Mus musculus: one gene and its partner. The protein of the gene in region 1 purifies or fractionates together with the protein of each later gene. This does not show direct contact. Links are inferred from orthologs where the notes say so. Each region holds a gene or a part of one and is shown in the gene's direction. Other genes may lie near its edges.

Evidence for each region. The genes of interacting proteins can lie anywhere in the genome.
Region 2: the proteins of Arpc1b (region 1) and Actr3b purify together in Homo sapiens (affinity purification with mass spectrometry; 5 studies listed by BioGRID and IntAct, counting the BioPlex papers as one, with this or other methods). This does not show direct contact. The link is inferred for Mus musculus from reciprocal best matches to the Homo sapiens genes ARPC1B and ACTR3B.

The regions. Positions count from the first base shown.
Region 1 is NC_000071.6:145,112,688-145,117,081, forward strand, and holds the start of Arpc1b (actin-related protein 2/3 complex subunit 1B), read left to right. Parts: upstream 1-1,568; 5' UTR 1,569-1,654; intron 1,655-4,394. UniProt on the Homo sapiens protein: Component of the Arp2/3 complex, a multiprotein complex that mediates actin polymerization upon stimulation by nucleation-promoting factor (NPF).
Region 2 is NC_000071.6:25,829,332-25,832,977, forward strand, and holds part of Actr3b (actin-related protein 3B), read left to right. Parts: intron 1-194; coding exon 195-338; intron 339-2,279; coding exon 2,280-2,453; intron 2,454-3,054; coding exon 3,055-3,147; intron 3,148-3,646. UniProt on the Homo sapiens protein: Plays a role in the organization of the actin cytoskeleton.

The DNA.
Region 1 (4,394 bases):
GGCCATTGCTGGGCTTTTATGGAGCTGAGCGAGCACGGACAGATTGCCAGCCAGGGATGCCCTTGACCCACAGGGCTACAGATACAAACCTACAGGAACAGCAAAGCAGGGGGCGCAGGATCATGGCTCCTCTGTGTCTGTGGCAGGAGGATGACTCGTGGAAACCTGAGCTAAATCTTACTGAGCTGGGTGGGTCTGGTGGCACGGGGAACTGAGGCAGGAGAATCACAAGCTCAAGGCCTACGTAACTTCAAGTCCAGCCCCAGAAACTTAAGGAGACTTAAGTGAAGGCTGGGGATGTAGCTCCGTGACTGAGCGTCTGCTGTGTGTGCAGGGCCCTGAGTTTGAATCCCAACACCATTATATATGTATATGTGTGTGTGTGTGTGTGTATACACACACACACATATACATAATCACTGAACATGGGCAGGGTGTTCACTGCAGCAACTGCTCCAAACTTAGAGTATTTTATTACACCAGGCATGATGATGCACTGCTTTAATACCAGAACTCAGAACTTGGAGACACAGACAGAGGCGGATCTCTGAGTTCAAGGGCAGTCTGGCCTACAGAGCTAATTCCAGGGCAATCAGGGCTACACAGAGAAACCCTGGCTCAAAAAAAAAAAAAAAGTATTAATTTATTTACTTACCCTGCGTGTGTGTGTGTGTGTGTGTGTGTGTGTGTGTGTATGTTTACACACTCTAGTTCACTATGGCTGGCATGTGTGTGGAAGTCAGTGCTGGGAGTTCAATTCAGGTCCTTAGGCTGGGCAGCAAGCACCTTTGCCATCTGAGCCATCTTACTGGCCCATTTCTTTGGTTTTTTTGAGGCAGGGTTTCATGTAACCCAGGCTGGCCTTCATCCAGCTCTACAGCCAAGGGTGAACTCGAATCTCATCTCTCTTCCTCCATCTCCCCAGTGCTGGGATGACAGGTGTGGGTTATCACAGGCACCTCTAAGCCAGAATTAGTGATACAGGAGATTGCTGGGAGTCTAGAGAGGAGCTCTCAGAAGGTGGGAGGCACAGCAAAAGGAACTTGAGACGCACCTAACCTGGAAGACCCTTGACCCTGGAGCATCATCACCTGACTGCAAAGCTACTCAGCAACTTGGAGGGAAGTGTGTGGACTTCCGAAGCGAGAAGTCACCTGGAGTGGCAGTGCTCTTCTTCCTGGACGCCAGCGACTCTGCCATCTTTGGGACACAGAGTCTGGGGAACCACGGCTGGGGTGCACCTAGAGTGCGAGGGGCGGGGCAGGAGTCATTAAGTTGCGGGGTGCCTGCGTGTGGCCTCAAAACCTTTGAATTCTTGGTTGCCCGATCTCGGGCTTCCGCCCTCTAAGCGCCCCCCCCCTTCTTCCAGCCTCAGTTTCCCCATTCAGAAAGTAGTTAGGGGCAACAGCGTGCGATCTCCGAACGAATTCTGGGCTGAGCTGGACTTAACTGAGGTCCGGGCGGCTTAGTACCCCGAGGGGTGGGCGGGCCCTGAGATCTGGCCACAGCCGCCCGGGTCCCGCCCCCGGTCCCTGCGGGGCTGTGCCCGAAGGCCCCGCCCCCCGCCCACGAGGAAGTGGCTGCGGCGCTGCGCGGGTCTCAGAGCCGGTTCGGCGCGTCGACTGTCCAGAGTCCGCGGCCGAGGAGACCCGAGGTGAGGGGCGCGGGGTGGTCGCGAGGTGTGTGTGGTGTCTGAGGCCACCTAGAAGTCAGGGGACTCGAGGCGATGTTCGACGGTGAGGGGGATGGGGATGAGAGAGGAGTGGAGAGCCGTGTGCATGGGGGCCTGGTGGGGCTCCCGGCGAGGGTGGGGCTGGCAAGGAGCTAGTGGGGGGCGGCGTTCTGGGGATGCGGGGCGCGGTGGGAAGAATCGCAGAGATTCCCCGCGCACTCGACGCCATCGAGACGGCACAGCCCCAGCCTCGCGCCCCCTCTCCGCTTTCCTGGCCCCGCTTTCGATCCCCGAGACCCGTGTCGCCCCGTTACTTTGGGCGCAGGGCCCCACGCTCAGTCACTTCCCCCTCGGTCCGCAGCCTTCCGGGTTGTTGCGACCGGGAAATGAGCTAGCACCCCTGCCCCGCCTCATCCCCCAGTGACCATACCCGGCAGGGGTCCAGGTTCCTGGTTCCACCCAGCTTGGGCGAGCGGACCCTGGCGGCTCGAGGGGCACCCAGCCAGGCCACCCCGGACAGGGCAGGTCCCGGTGGGGCCCGCAAATAGGCTGGAATCCTGAACTGGGAGCCAGCCCAGGTGCTGGCCATGAAGCTTGTTCCCGCGAGGCAGCTCCAGCCTGGGGCGGTGTGGCTGCTGACGCAGTCGAGCCACCTCGCCTCTCTAGAGCTCAACTTGCCTTGCCTGGAAAATGGGGACCTTCCAGATTTGGAGGCTTAGCTGCCAAATGTGGCTAGTACACTTGGCAGAGTGCCTGCTTGTCTGCTGCTGCAGACCTTATTTCTGCACTCCTTTGAACCTGGCCTTATGAGGTGGGAGGGTGGGGTGGGGTCCGAAGCTGCAGCCCTGCGGGGCGACTTGGAGGGAACAACTTCTTCACGTGGACAATAAAAAAGGAATAGATTTACCACGTGGGCTTCTACTGTAAGAGAATGTGCGGGGCTGGGAGATGGAGCATTGAATAAAAGCACTGACAGGGGTGGAGTTGGGGAGGGGGAATCCTGAGGGTCTGAGTTCGAATACCCCGACACCCATGGGCACTCAAAGACACACAATGAAGCGTGCAAGGCAAAGGTCTGTGTGAATGAAAATTTATTTATTTATTTTGGTTTTTCGAGACAGGGTTTCTCTGTATAGCTCTGGCTGTCCTGGAACTCACTCTGTAGACCAGGCTGGCCTCGAACTCAGAAATCCTCCTGCCTCTGCCTCCCGAGTGCTGGGATTAAAGGTGTACGCTGGTGATTCTTTTTCACTCTGGGTTGTTTTGTTCTTTTAGGCAGGGTCTCCTCCTTTCCCCTGGACTCGGGTTCTCTCTCTCTCTCTCTCTCTCTCTCTCTCTCTCTCTCTTTCCCCCTCCCTCCCTCCTCCTTCCCTCCCCCCAGGCTAGCCTTGAACTCATAGAGCTCTGTCTCCTCAGTGCTGAGATTAAAGGTGAGCACACTTCGGGATCTTTCAAATAACAAATAACCCCAACTAGAATTAAAGTATTTTGTTCTGTCTTGGTCCCAGGGCCTTGGAACTTACTAGGCAAGTGCTCTACCAGTGATCCAGCCTCCTCAGTGGTATGTGGGTTTTTCCAATCTGTCACCCACTGATATAAAAAGGGTTTTCTGTAGTAAGGCAACCCTAAGAAAGAGGGCTTTAAAAGTTTGCTTTTTCAAGTTACTAAGGTCATCAGTGTTGTTCTCTTTTTAAAGATGTATTTTTATGGGTTGGGTGCGCGCGCGCCCACACACTTGAGCCCTGGGGTGGTGGAAAATGCTGTCCCCTGGAGCTAGAGTATTTATTTGGTGGTTGAGGGCTACTGGAGTTCTCTGCAAAGAGCCTTCTCTCCAGCCCCACATTCTGTCTGCTCTCATACAAGCTGTTGGAATTAGAAGTTAGCACGCGGCCCTTCAAAGGCATGGAACAGATGAGGGTCTCCCCACAGCCCTGCTAGCACCGAGTCTTCTGTGTTTTGGAGAAGTTTTTGTTTTGGTTCTTTAAACTGGTGTTTTACGATATTTTAGAATTTATTTAATCTGTTGCTGGATTTGACTTTCCCTCATTCAGTAAGTCTTCAAGGACAGTTTAGAGGAGGGGGAAGAAGAGGAACTGAGGGTTTGGAGGGTTGCTCACACCACCCAGGCTCCTACCCACAACAGGAAGTTGAGTAAGGCTTAGCACCATAAAAAAGAAAAAAAAAAACTGCTGCTGGCTGTACTTAGCTGAGCTCCCAAGCTAGGCGGGGACTTCCTGGATTGCCTGTGGAGCCAAGGTTCTCGCTGCAGGCAACTCCCGGCTTGGCTTAAGTCTCAAATCCAGCCAGACTGAGTGTGTGATTCAAGGAAACACAGCCAAGAAAAGCCAAGGGGCCAGGGCGAAGGATATTTATTTATGTGTGTGTGTGTGGGGGGGGGTAGGGTAGAGGACAAGTTAGAAGCCTTAATTGGTTCCTTCGCTCCTGGGTCCTGGGGATCAAACTCAGGTCATCAGGCTTGGCTGCAAGCGCTTTTACCCGGTGAGCCATCTCACCAGCCCCTTACCTGTCTATCTGCCTGCCTACCTACCTATCTAATCTGTCTGTCTGTCTGTCTGTCCGTCCGTCCGTCCATCCATCCATCCATCCGTCCATCCATTTCTATCAATCACAGGTTCTCCCTATGAAGCCCAAGCTGGCTTCAAACTCCTGATCCCACAGCCTTAGCCCGCTCTGTCTCCGATGTTCAGCAGCGCACCCTGCT
Region 2 (3,646 bases), about 120 Mb from region 1:
GGAACTTCAGATGCTGTCATTTAAAAAGACCACAGATACTGAACCTTATAAGTGGGAGCCATTCAATGCTAGTTCAGTGCTCAGAAGGGCGGACATCTGGGAAGGTGAGGGTGGGGACCTCCTGAGTGCACGGGCTCTGGACTGTGGTTACTGACGTGGCTGTCCTGCCTCCTCTCCTCTCCTCCCCTCTCCAGGCAGAAGGTTATGTAATTGGAAGCTGCATCAAACACATCCCAATTGCAGGTAGAGATATTACGTATTTCATTCAACAGCTGCTAAGGGAGAGGGAGGTGGGAATCCCTCCTGAGCAGTCACTGGAAACCGCAAAAGCCATCAAGGTAAAAACAGAAGGGAACCTGGCTGGTTTGGGGGTGAGGGAGATGGTGCTTGGACGTTCCCCTCAATGCCACTGCCCCTCCTGCTCCCTTCCTATCCCCTGAGAGTGTGGGCTTTGGTTGTTTTGCCATTGAGTTTAGTGTGCTGGGGACGTGAGGCTCAGCGTGCTCTCCTACACAGAGAGCGGCTTCCGAGCTGGTGTTGAGCCACCGGTGTGTGGAGTAGAGCGTTGTTTAATTGGAGTCTAATTAAACCAAACCTTCAATTAGCTGCATGCTGCTTCCCCATCTCCCTCCGTGCTTCCGTTTAGAATCAGGAGGCGAGTCGCAGCAGTAGCTGTCAGGAATCCAGAGGTGTCTGCATGCTTTGTGTCCTGAGAGTCCTCAGAACCCTGCCAGTCTAGATCTCAGGGTCCTTAAACAGAATCCACCTGCCTGTCTCCAGACCTCAGTTACATGCTACGACAGTGACAGGAAAATGTGAACTTAGTAACAAAAGAGCAAAGTGACTCTTAGGTCATTATTTAGAGGGTCTACTTGACCTCACCCATCTTCCTATTGGTGTGGGCATGGCAGTTACAGACTTTTAAAAGGAATTTTTCTTCTCATCTAGCAAAACTAAAACATTAAAAAAGAATCAAAATGCAAGAGATTCCTGAGTGTTCAAGGCTGGTTATCATAAATCGAGAGGAGGGAGGATTTTGTTTGAATCTGGAGAAGGGTCTGAGGTGGGGTATGACATGTGACCTCACACAGCTCTGGTTCGGAGCTGCAGCATAGAGGGGTAACTTTCCTGCTGTTTCCTCTCAGCCAAGCATCTCTGGAGGTTGGTTGAATTCAAAGTTTCAGGGGACGAGATTTCTGAATTTTGGCTGATGCTAGTTGAGAACAATCCTTTTGGGATGGGACAGGTAGAGGGATGGCTCCTACAGAAAAAAATGCCACCTGTCTCTCCCTCGTGGGCTTGGGCTTCCCAGGACTGGGGAGACTCGAAGTCCTCAAGCAAAAGGGAAAAGCTGGTCCTTCCATGGTGGGGAGAGGTTTGAAAAGATGTCCTCAGACTTCTTTGTAGACTAAAATATTTCCAAGGTTTCCCCTCAGCCTTTGTTTCCCTTTCCTCAGTGGGAGCCATCTCTTGGCAGCCCCAGTGCTCTCGCCTGATTCTGCTCTTATTCTATAGTAGCTGCCAACTGATCTCATGATGTTTGCTTATTTCAGTCACCTAGTGTCTGACTCTGAGCTAGATGGCCTCTGAGAGGGACCTAAGTGTTTCATGGACTGTGTATCTGCAGGGTTGATCAAGTGACTTAGAATACCTAACCAGCAAGGGCAGGGGATCAAGCAAACATTTAACAGGAGGACAGATAGCATTTCCTTAGGCACGCATGCGTTGTGTACACACACACACACACACACACACTCTCTCTCTCTCTCTCTCCCTCCCTCCCTCTCCCTCTCTCTCACCCTCTCTCCCTCTCTCCCTCTCCCTCCCTCTCCTCTCTCTCTCTCTCTCTCTCTCTCTCTCTGTCTCTCTCTCATGCAATTGACTTCTGAATTCTAGAATGGGCCAAGCTTAGTTTGCTGGTCTCGAAGTGAGGCTGGCACCTGACAGGGAGCCTGAGGGGGCAAGCAAAGCCTGGGTGGAGACAAGGAGCTGATGTTTTATAGATATTATTTCAGACAATATGGCAACAGAATTAGGGAGAACATGGAAGTGATGTGTAACCATTGCAGAGAAAACAGACTTACCTATTCAAGTGTAGTCATGCTTAAGCTGAAAGACAGCAGGACACATGCTTGATGGGTCAATCACACAAGAGTTACAGTGTAGGCAGAGATGAATTCAGAGGTGTCTGTAAGATGTGGGTTCTTGTGTATTTGTCAGAGGGCAGAGACGTTGGTACTTATCAATGCTTTGGCCATGTCTTTTTTGTGTACATACAGGAGAAGTACTGCTACATTTGCCCGGATATTGTCAGAGAATTTGCTAAGTATGACGTAGATCCTCGGAAGTGGATCAAACAGTACACAGGGATCAATGCCATCAACCAGAAGAAGTTCATTATAGATGTTGGTTATGAAAGGTTCCTGGGACCAGAAATATTCTTTCACCCTGAGGTAAGATGTCTGAGTGTACTGAGTAGTATATGTGGAACGATGCTGCCCTCCAGTGTGCAGAAGCAGCAGTTCCCAGTAAAGGGACCCAGTGAGCAAGTTGGTTTCACATGGTGGTTCCCTCTGCAGCATGGTTGCCTGGAGCGCCTTGCTGTAGGCTTACCCACTTTAACAGTTAAGGTTGGGGTTATCCTGGGCATGAGGAAGATCTCTGAAGAGCAATGGAAGAAATGGATTTGAAACTGATCACCAGGGACCTGTAGGAATAAAGCAGTCACAAATCTCAAGGACTGTGTGCATTGACCCCTGTATGAAAGTAACACTAAGCCAGAGTGTTTTGTGACTGTGCGTGTAAAATCAGTGAATGCCCAGCTGGTGAACTGGCTCATAACTATCTGAAACTCCAGCTCCAGGGGATATGCTGTCTTCTTCTGGTCTCTGCGGGCACTGCACTCAGATGCTCAAACCCACACCCAGACACACCCACACGCATAGCAAAGTACATCACTAAAAGTAAAAATGAAGTCTTAACATTTTGTTTGAAAATAGTTTGTGTTATTTGAGAAAGTGTATAATGTTTCTTTCATATTCGTATGAAATATAGTTTGCCAACCCAGACTTTATGGAGTCCATCTCGGATGTTGTCGATGAAGTCATACAGAGCTGTCCCATAGATGTGCGCCGGCCGCTGTATAAGGTATAAACTTCTTGGGTAAGGTGTTTTGACTTCCTTCCCACATAAAAGGCCTGTAGTTGTTGCCTATCCATGAAGCATGTCTTCATCACTGCTTTCCTGCTCCCGGCAGGAAACGCGTTCCAGTTGTGTATAACTGAGAGCTTTGACTCAGAGAAGGGAGGAGTGGGACGCTGGGAATATGACACAGCCAATAAAGGGACTTTTCAAACTCTTTTCTTCCTCCCTTCCCCTCCCTCCTCTGCTTGAGCCCAGACATGACTTTCCTGTCTCCCTCCTCCCTAGCACTGGGGTTTCAAACCCTGTGTCTCCATGCCTGGCATGAGCTGTCTTTTTGTCTTGACTGCCAAACTGGATTGAGTTACACAGCCTGAGCCATACACACCAATTGAAAGAGGAAGGTTTGTCCTGCTCAGGCTCTCTGGGAACCGCTCTTATTCTTTGCTGGGTATTTACGGTCAGTGCTGAGGTTAGCATGGCAGTAAGTACAAATATGCACGTG